2 linked regions of the Oryctolagus cuniculus genome follow. The protein of the gene in region 2 interacts with the protein of the main gene of each other region in a pairwise test. Links are inferred from orthologs where the notes say so. Each region holds a gene or a part of one and is shown on either strand. Other genes may lie near its edges.

Evidence for each region. The genes of interacting proteins can lie anywhere in the genome.
Region 1: the proteins of NDUFAF3 (region 2) and NDUFAF4 interact in binary tests that used the Homo sapiens proteins (3 or more experiments, as listed by UniProt). The two-hybrid records come from large-scale screens. The link is inferred for Oryctolagus cuniculus from reciprocal best matches to the Homo sapiens genes NDUFAF3 and NDUFAF4.

The regions. Positions count from the first base shown.
Region 1 is NC_091436.1:75,154,945-75,159,144, reverse strand, and holds the start of NDUFAF4 (NADH dehydrogenase [ubiquinone] 1 alpha subcomplex assembly factor 4), read right to left. Parts: upstream 2,810-4,200; 5' UTR 2,698-2,809; coding exon 2,562-2,697; intron 2,088-2,561; coding exon 1,984-2,087; intron 1-1,983. UniProt on the Homo sapiens protein: Involved in the assembly of mitochondrial NADH:ubiquinone oxidoreductase complex (complex I). May be involved in cell proliferation and survival of hormone-dependent tumor cells. May be a regulator of breast tumor cell invasion.
Region 2 is NC_091441.1:100,132,537-100,136,009, forward strand, and holds NDUFAF3 (NADH dehydrogenase [ubiquinone] 1 alpha subcomplex assembly factor 3), read right to left. Parts: upstream 1,980-3,473; 5' UTR 1,559-1,979; coding exon 1,491-1,558; intron 1,417-1,490; coding exon 1,224-1,416; intron 1,094-1,223; coding exon 1,027-1,093; intron 912-1,026; coding exon 811-911; intron 731-810; coding exon 614-730; 3' UTR 532-613; downstream 1-531. UniProt on the Homo sapiens protein: Essential factor for the assembly of mitochondrial NADH:ubiquinone oxidoreductase complex (complex I).

The DNA.
Region 1 (4,200 bases), on a different chromosome or scaffold from region 2:
GAGATCCCAGTGGAAAGAACAGGTCTTCAAAGAGGGAGGTGCCTTTCTCTGAAGGGAGGAGAGAACCTCCACTTTGACTATGACCGTGTCTAAACAAGATAAGAGTCGGAGAACTCAAGGGGCTTCCATAGCCTTGGAAACTCATGACTGGTGCATAGGGAGATTACTGATGCCATAAACAGGAGTGTCAATTGGTAAAGTCAACAACAGGAGTCACTGTGCACTTACTCCTCATGTAGGATCTCGGTCCTTAACGTGCTGTACACTGAGGCTTAATGCTATAACGAGTACTCAAACAGTATATTTCACTTTGTGTTTCTATGGGGGTGCAAACGACTGAAATCTTTACTTAATGTACACTAAACTGATCTTCTGTAAAAAAAAAAAAAAAAAAAAAAAAAAAAAAAAAAAAAGAAAGAAATTTTCAATTCCCAACTTGACTCTCACTGGGATTAAACATGACAATAGGTCTGATCTGATTTCATCATCATTTAAAAAAAATCATCTATTATTTTTCACTTTATGTTTCTGTGTGGGAGCAAACTGTTGAAATACTTACTTAAGGTATACTAAGCTGATCTTCTGTATATTAAGATAATCGAAAATGAATCTTGATGTGAATGGAAGGGGAGAGGGAGTGGGAAAGGGGAGGGTTGTTGGTGGGAGGGACGGTATGGGGGGGGAAGCCATTGTAACCCATGAGTCGTACTTTGGAAATTTATATTCATTAAATAAAAGATAAAAAAAAAAAAAAAAAAAAAGTTTATACACAGCAAAGGAAATGATCAATAGAGTGAAGCCACATTCAACAGAGTGGGAAAGATATATGCAAACTACCTGTCTGACAAACAATTAATATCCCCAACATATCAACAACCTTAAAAACTCAACAACAAAAAACCAACCAATCCAGTTATGAAATGGGCAAAGGACTTCAATAGTTCTCAAAAGAAGAAACACAACTGACCAACAAATATACGAAAAATGCTCAACATCACTAGCCATCAAAGAAATGAAAATCAAAACCACAATGAGACATCACCTAACCCCTGTCCAGAAAGGCTATAGTCCAAAAGACAATAACAAATGGTGGCGAGGATGTGGAGAAAAGGGAACAACTTATACACTGCTGGTGGGAATGTCAACTAGTGCAGCCCTTGTGAAAAACAGTGTGGAGATTTCTTAAAAAACTAGAAATACAACTGCCATATGATCCAGCAATCCCACTACTGGACTTATAGCCAAAAGACTGAACACAATGTATCAGTAATACCTGCACCACCATGTTTATCACAGCGCTGTCCACAACAGCCAGCATTTGGAACCCACTAAGGTGTCCATCATCAGATGAATGGACAAAGAAAATGTGGTATATGTGTATACACACACACACACACACACACACAATGGAATATTATTCAGCCGTAAAACAGAATGAAAGTCTACCATCTGCAGCAAAATGGACTCAACTGGAGGACATTAGGTTGAGTGAAATAAACTGGACCCAGAAAGACAAATACCGCATGTTTTCCCTTTTATGTGGGCGCTACATTTTTTTAAAAATGTGTGTATCAGTATTGTTGCAAACAGTTTTGTAAAGCTTTGTTTTATGCCTTTGTCAAACCAGTGGTTAAGAATTCTATATACTACTACAGTTTTAATGATCTGTGATTACCTTAAAATTTACTGTAAATGGGTAAAATGGTCATGTTTCCATTATTGTTTATAACTATTGTCTATATTCCTACTAAACTGGGGTCTTTCTGCTTTTTACTTGTTAAACTTATTTGGTGAAGTATTAAGACTGTTTACTGTAATGTAATTTTAAAATGTCATCTCAAAACTAAAAAGAGAAGGAGAAAGGAAAGGAGGGAGAGAGTAAGAGGGGAATACCATTCAGTTCTTAGAATTGTATCTACAAATCACATCGGAAGGTAAAAACTAAACATTTACATTTCAAATAATTTTTTAAATACACATTACCTGCACGGTAGTCACAGGATCTGTGGAATCAACATACACATCTTTTAGTAACGACAGCAGCTTGTCATCTTTTCTAGCAATTTCTCCCTTAATTTCTGGATGGTCTGGGTGGAAAGAGAAGGAAAAGTCACAATATATGAAAGGCGAGAACTCCCTCAGATTCTAAAAGCACACAAAACAGTCACTTCAACTTCTTTTTAATAAACAATCTTTGGGCAGTTCAGGAAACCTTTTAAATCGACGTCAAAACACTAGGCCCTCAGGGCCCGGCGTCCTTCGTTCTGGGAAGACACCTGCAGCAGACCTGGCTGCACGCGGCCCCCTGCTCCCTTGGATTCTCTGTACCCAGTCGCCACGCATGAACCACCAAGGCCGGCCAGGGACTGTCCTCGCCGGTCTCCCGCCCCCGGGCGAGGACAGCGTCAATGTCACCGACCCGGCGCCTCCACCGTCCCGCGCCCTGCCCACCCGAGCCGCTGTGGCCGAGCAGGCGGACCTGCGGATCCAGGTCCCCGGGCGGAACAGCCCGGCCGGCCGCACCGGGACCCCGCGCCCCGACGCGCCCCCGCGCCACTCACGGCTCAAGTGTTCTCTGAGAAGACTCTTGGTGGAGGGGTGCTTGGGAGCGGGAGAGGGCTTCATCTTGCTGATTTCCCGTTCCGCTCGGTTCTCCAGGTTGAAATTCCTGATCGCCCGAACCACCTGAGCCCCCATCTCTTTAGGACATGATGTCCTTAGCTTCACTGCGCACGTGGGAAAACACCGGCGCGGACGACCTCTGGAGCGCACGGAGCATGCGCACGTATAGCGTCGAGCGGGCCGGGAAGCGAGTGCTAAATGTGCGCTCATCGCCCTCTCGTGGTCTGGAGGCCACACAGCGCGTTTCAGGCTCCATCGTTTCAAAGGGAGTGGCTCCTCCCCGGGACACTCGGGGGTGGGGCCTAAGGCCAGGTTTTCAACGTTGGAGCCCGTGGAGTCACGGAAGAAGATAAAACACAATTTCATGCTAGGCACCACTCCAGACTTATAACTCTCAGATTTATTTATTTATTTAACTTATTTAACTCTCACATTGAGCCCTGGCGTTAGTTAGGATTTCCCACGTGATTCCAATATTGCAGTCAAGAACTGAAAATCAAAGTCATGAGGAAATTGATTTTGAAGAAAAATAATGTAGGGATATTCATTCTTGATGAATATTCTGGGCCATTCTTCATTTCCTGTCCCGTTGCCTGATGCATTTCCAGCCACCATATTCCCTTTTTCCATTAGATTTCACATCCTACTCTCATAACTCATTTGACCTAAAGCTATTGATTTTAGTGTATGTTTTCTTTGCCCTCTGTATTTTTGTTACTAATTTATTTCTCCATACTATTAAATACTGAGTCTCCTAATTTTTCTCCAATGTTTCTTCTTTCGTCTGCCTCTCTCATTTTATGTACTTCTGGGAGAACTCTGTGTAACTTAATGAAAGAAACAGCCCGTACAGGGCTAGGGAAAACTGAGTGTTAGATTCATATTCTCTCTCTCTCTCTCTCTCTCTCTCTCTGTGTGTGTGTATGTGTGTGTGTGTCCTTCCCTCTATCCATCCATTTCTTTCTCTCCTTTCCATTTCTGGTACAATAGTGCTGCTTTTATTTAAGATTCTTGGGAAATATTGTGATTAATCCACAATAAAAGAAATCCACCAGGAAGAAAGCAGTAGTGTATCTAAAGTTAAAATATTTGGTATTTGAGAATAGCAAAACAAAACCTGGTTTTGGTATTCTCAGCTCTGCTTCATGAAATAAGGTAGATGGATTGTTTTTGGCCAATTTAAAGTGAGAAGAGAATTGATGTTAATTGAATCGGGACCAGCATTGGGGCACAGCAGATTAAGTTGCTGCTTCCAATGCCAGCATGCCCTATCAGAGCCCCATTTCAAGTTTTGGCTGCTCCACTTCCCAACCAACTTCTAATGCGCCTGGGAAAGCAGTGGAAGATGGCCCAAGTACTGGGCCCCTGCCACCCATGTAAGAGACCTGGATGGATTTCTTAGTTCCTGGCTTCATTCATACTCTCTCTCTCTCTCTCTCTCTTCTCTCTCTCTCTCTTTCTCTTTCTCTCTGCCTTTCAAATAAATAAATATCTTTTAAAAAGAGAGATAATTGAGTCAAAGCAGTGAAAAAATAAGAATCAAAGAGACAGTTTTAAGAAAACAGAAGTAATTATTAA
Region 2 (3,473 bases):
ACAGACAGGTACATGGGACACCCTCCCGTCCAGGGACCCCCATGTATCAGGCCTTAATAAATTTCCTCAAAGATCTTAAAGGGCGTTCCCTGGCAGCTCTGGAGCCGGAAGGATCTTGAACACAAAGCCACTGGGGTCCCTCCCCTCAGATCTGCAGAGGCCTTGCAGCAGGTCAAGTTGCTGCCTGTCACGCAGGCGTCCCATGATGCACGCTGTTCTTCTGTCATGTTGATGTGCCTGGGAGCGCTGTCCCTCCACCAGTGCTGGGGACCTGGATGGAGATCTGGGCACCTGGCTTCAGTGGGGCCCAGCCCTGGCCCTTCCAGTCATTTGAGGAGTGAACCAGCGGATGGACTACGCCTCTCCCTGATTCTGCCTTTCAAATAAGCTCTTTTTTAAAAGGTCTAGAACAAAACAAGGCCTTCTAGCCTCCGGTTTCCTCACACACACGCCAACTGAAACCCACGTAGCCATCGATCCCTGGCCAGCAACACACCTGATACAAAATGGGGGTATAAATTACTCATACGCTAGCAAGCAAATCAAGGGCTTTAGTGCCGAAGGGGGAGGACCAGGGCCCTCGGGGAGGGGAGGTGCTTCGGTTCCCGGCGGTTCACTCTGCAGCTTGGCCCAGAGGCAGCACAGAAGTCTCTCCAGGCGGGGGGATGAGAGCGGCTCCCGTCACCCGGCCTTCGTGACACAGGAAGTTGAAAGTAGCGCAGGCATTGGGCTGTAGAGAAAAGGCCGGCATCAGCCTGGCCAGGGCAAGGCCCGAGCCCCGCCGCAGCGCGCCCCGGGGCCGGCACTCACCGTGTCCTGCACCTCCACGGCGATGCCCCGCCGCCTCATGGCTCGCAGTACCTCGGGCTGCAGCCGCTCGGTCCGGTTTCCGGTCCCCACCACCACAATCTCTAGGGAAGGCAGGGCGTGGCTCGTCCACAACCGGGTCTGCTGTGAAGCTGGGGTGCGGGTGGCTTTCCGGGGGCTCGGAGCGCTCAGACCTCCGCACCCCCCCTCCCCCCGTACCTATCCGGGGCTCCAGCATCCAGAAGAGGGAGAAGCTCTCTTCAGTGATGTCCTGGTGGGATCCCACCTGTGCGGGGAGGAGGCGGGTTCAGGACAGACGAAGCCGCAGCCTCCCTCTCTCCCCAGCTCCACTCCGGGGCCACAGGGACGAGCCCAGTTAGCCAGGGACACCGGCGGGCGTGCGGGGCAAGGCTCACGTTCCACTGCACCACCGAGTGCGGGAGCAGCGCGCACGGTCCGAGCACGCGGTTGCCGTTGACCGTGAAGCCGCGGCTGCTGTAGCTGTCGATGTACATGACGTGCGGGGACTCGCGCTGCAGCAGAGAGATGCGCGTCCGCTGATACAACTCGTCATCCGCCGGCGAGAGCCGGTGCCCACGCCGCGGTGCCCTGCGGAGGCGGAGGGTCAGGGGGCCGCTGGCCCTGGCGGGCAGCGTGCTCGGGGGCGTGGGGCCTGGGCTCACCATGGCAGCGGACAGCGCGGCGTGGGTTTCACTCGGGACAGGCAGCGCAGCGCGACAGCGGCGGCCATGGCTGCCCCGCACGCCGCGAGCGGGTCGGACGCAGGACCGCTGGGGTCGCGGCGAGGCCTGGTCCGCCGAGACTACAGCGCCTCCTGCGGTCCGGAGGGCGCGTCGCGGCTCTGCCAGCCCCCCTCGCCGGCGTCACGTGTCCCCGGCGCGGCTCTCGTGTCCGCACCTGTCGCCCCGGCCGCCGGTCCCAGGGGAGTGCGGGCACCTGGTAGTGCGGGCTCTCAGACATGACGCAGGGCTCCGGGGACCCGGAGCGGGGCGGGGCCGCACCTGGCCGGGTCCTGCACACCTGGCCAGGGCGTGGCGCCAACCTCCAAGCCCCTAATCTCAGGTTCTGGGGCGCCCGGCTCCGTGGGCGGGGCGGACGGCTCAGGTTTCCCCGGCCAGACTCGCAGCCACGCCCCTCCCCAACCGTCACCCGCGCGACCGTTAGCGGCGGCGCCGCACGCTGCGGGGGGCGTGGCCGCGCGGGGATTGGCTTCGCGAGAGCGCGAGGGGGCGTGGCCAGGCAGTTTCGCCATAAAATGGCTCCAAGTCTGCGGGGCAGCCGGAGCCAGCGGAAGGGCACGGCGTTTTAGTGTTGCTGAGCCTGCTCGGTGGGGAGCGGCCGGGCCGAGCCGGACCAGACTTGAACTAGACAGCGCCCGGAGCATCGTCGTGTCCTCGCTCACTCCGCTCGCTTCCCGAGGTTGCCCCGCACCCCGTCTCGATCCGCATCAAGGGCCTACAGGAGCGAGTGGTGGCGCCCGCGCCGGGTTTGGGCATCTCCGCGCGCCGGCTCCGTCTTAGCCTCGGGGGAACCTTGTCGCGTTCGCTAGCCGTGGGGCCGGCCGGCCGGGCGGGCGGGAGAGGGTCGGCACAGTAGGGGCCTGGGCGGCGAGAGTCCCAGGAGCGGTCGCAGTGGCCTGCCGGGGGTCCCGCCATCGCTGTGTGGGCCCGGTCGGCTCCTGGCGCTCCTGGGCGCTGGCAGCGTCACCGGACAAAGGGCCCCGAGCGCGGGGGTGTCCCCAAGGCGGACGCGCGGGCTCACTTCCTCCCTGGCCCCGCGCTTCCCTCTTGGCAGATTCTGAAACCCGCCCTCCCGGCGTCACCGCACCAGTGGCCCCGGGCTGCGTGGGACCAACAGGGCTAATCCTGCCCTCGGATCTAATCCGGATCGGGACCCGATCCCAGGGGAGGCCCGGTCCTTCCCTGCTATTGTTCTGGGGCCCAGGTGAGCGCCTCGTTCCCACTGGACTCGGTTTCACTGTCTCCCAGGTCCGCCTCCTGGGACGTAGGATGGGCGGGTTCTGGATTGGCCCTAGGGTGAGTGACCTGGGGGCAGGAGCCCCACTCCAACGGCTGGACAGCGGGCAACGGAATCCCAAAAGCAGCTGTTGTCTCCAGAGCATTCCAGCTGCGCTTGGATTTCGTTCCCTGCTTTCCTGCCTGAGCAGCGCCCAGGCCCAGGTTGGGTAGCCCCTGACACCCCCCAGACACACCGCGCTGGGGGGCCCTGGTCTCCGTCCGTCTCTCGGGTGCGGGCTAGAAGCGGGAGAGCTGGGGCTGGGGCCTCCGGTTAGGCCTTGCAAGGAAGAGGGATGAGTGAGTGGCCCTGGTGAGTCCCCCAGGGCCGCCTCAGCCCGCAGCTCACTAAAGATAGCCCTCCACTTCCTGGGGAGAAACCACCCCAACCGTCTTTGTGGACGGAGAGTAACTGAAGTCCCCGGTTCGATCCTGGGCCCCCAGCCTCGCCGGTCGCTGCCTGTGAGTCGTGAGCTCTCGGCATGGAAAGCGCTTTGGAATGACACGATCACTCCCGTTGAGTGGGCACCCAGGAAGCCATCGGGAATGTCGTGTCCGCCCAGTGCTCTTTCGGCGCCTCTCAGCAGGGCCTGACCGCCCGGCCCTTGAGGAAGGAGCCTTGCCCGGCCT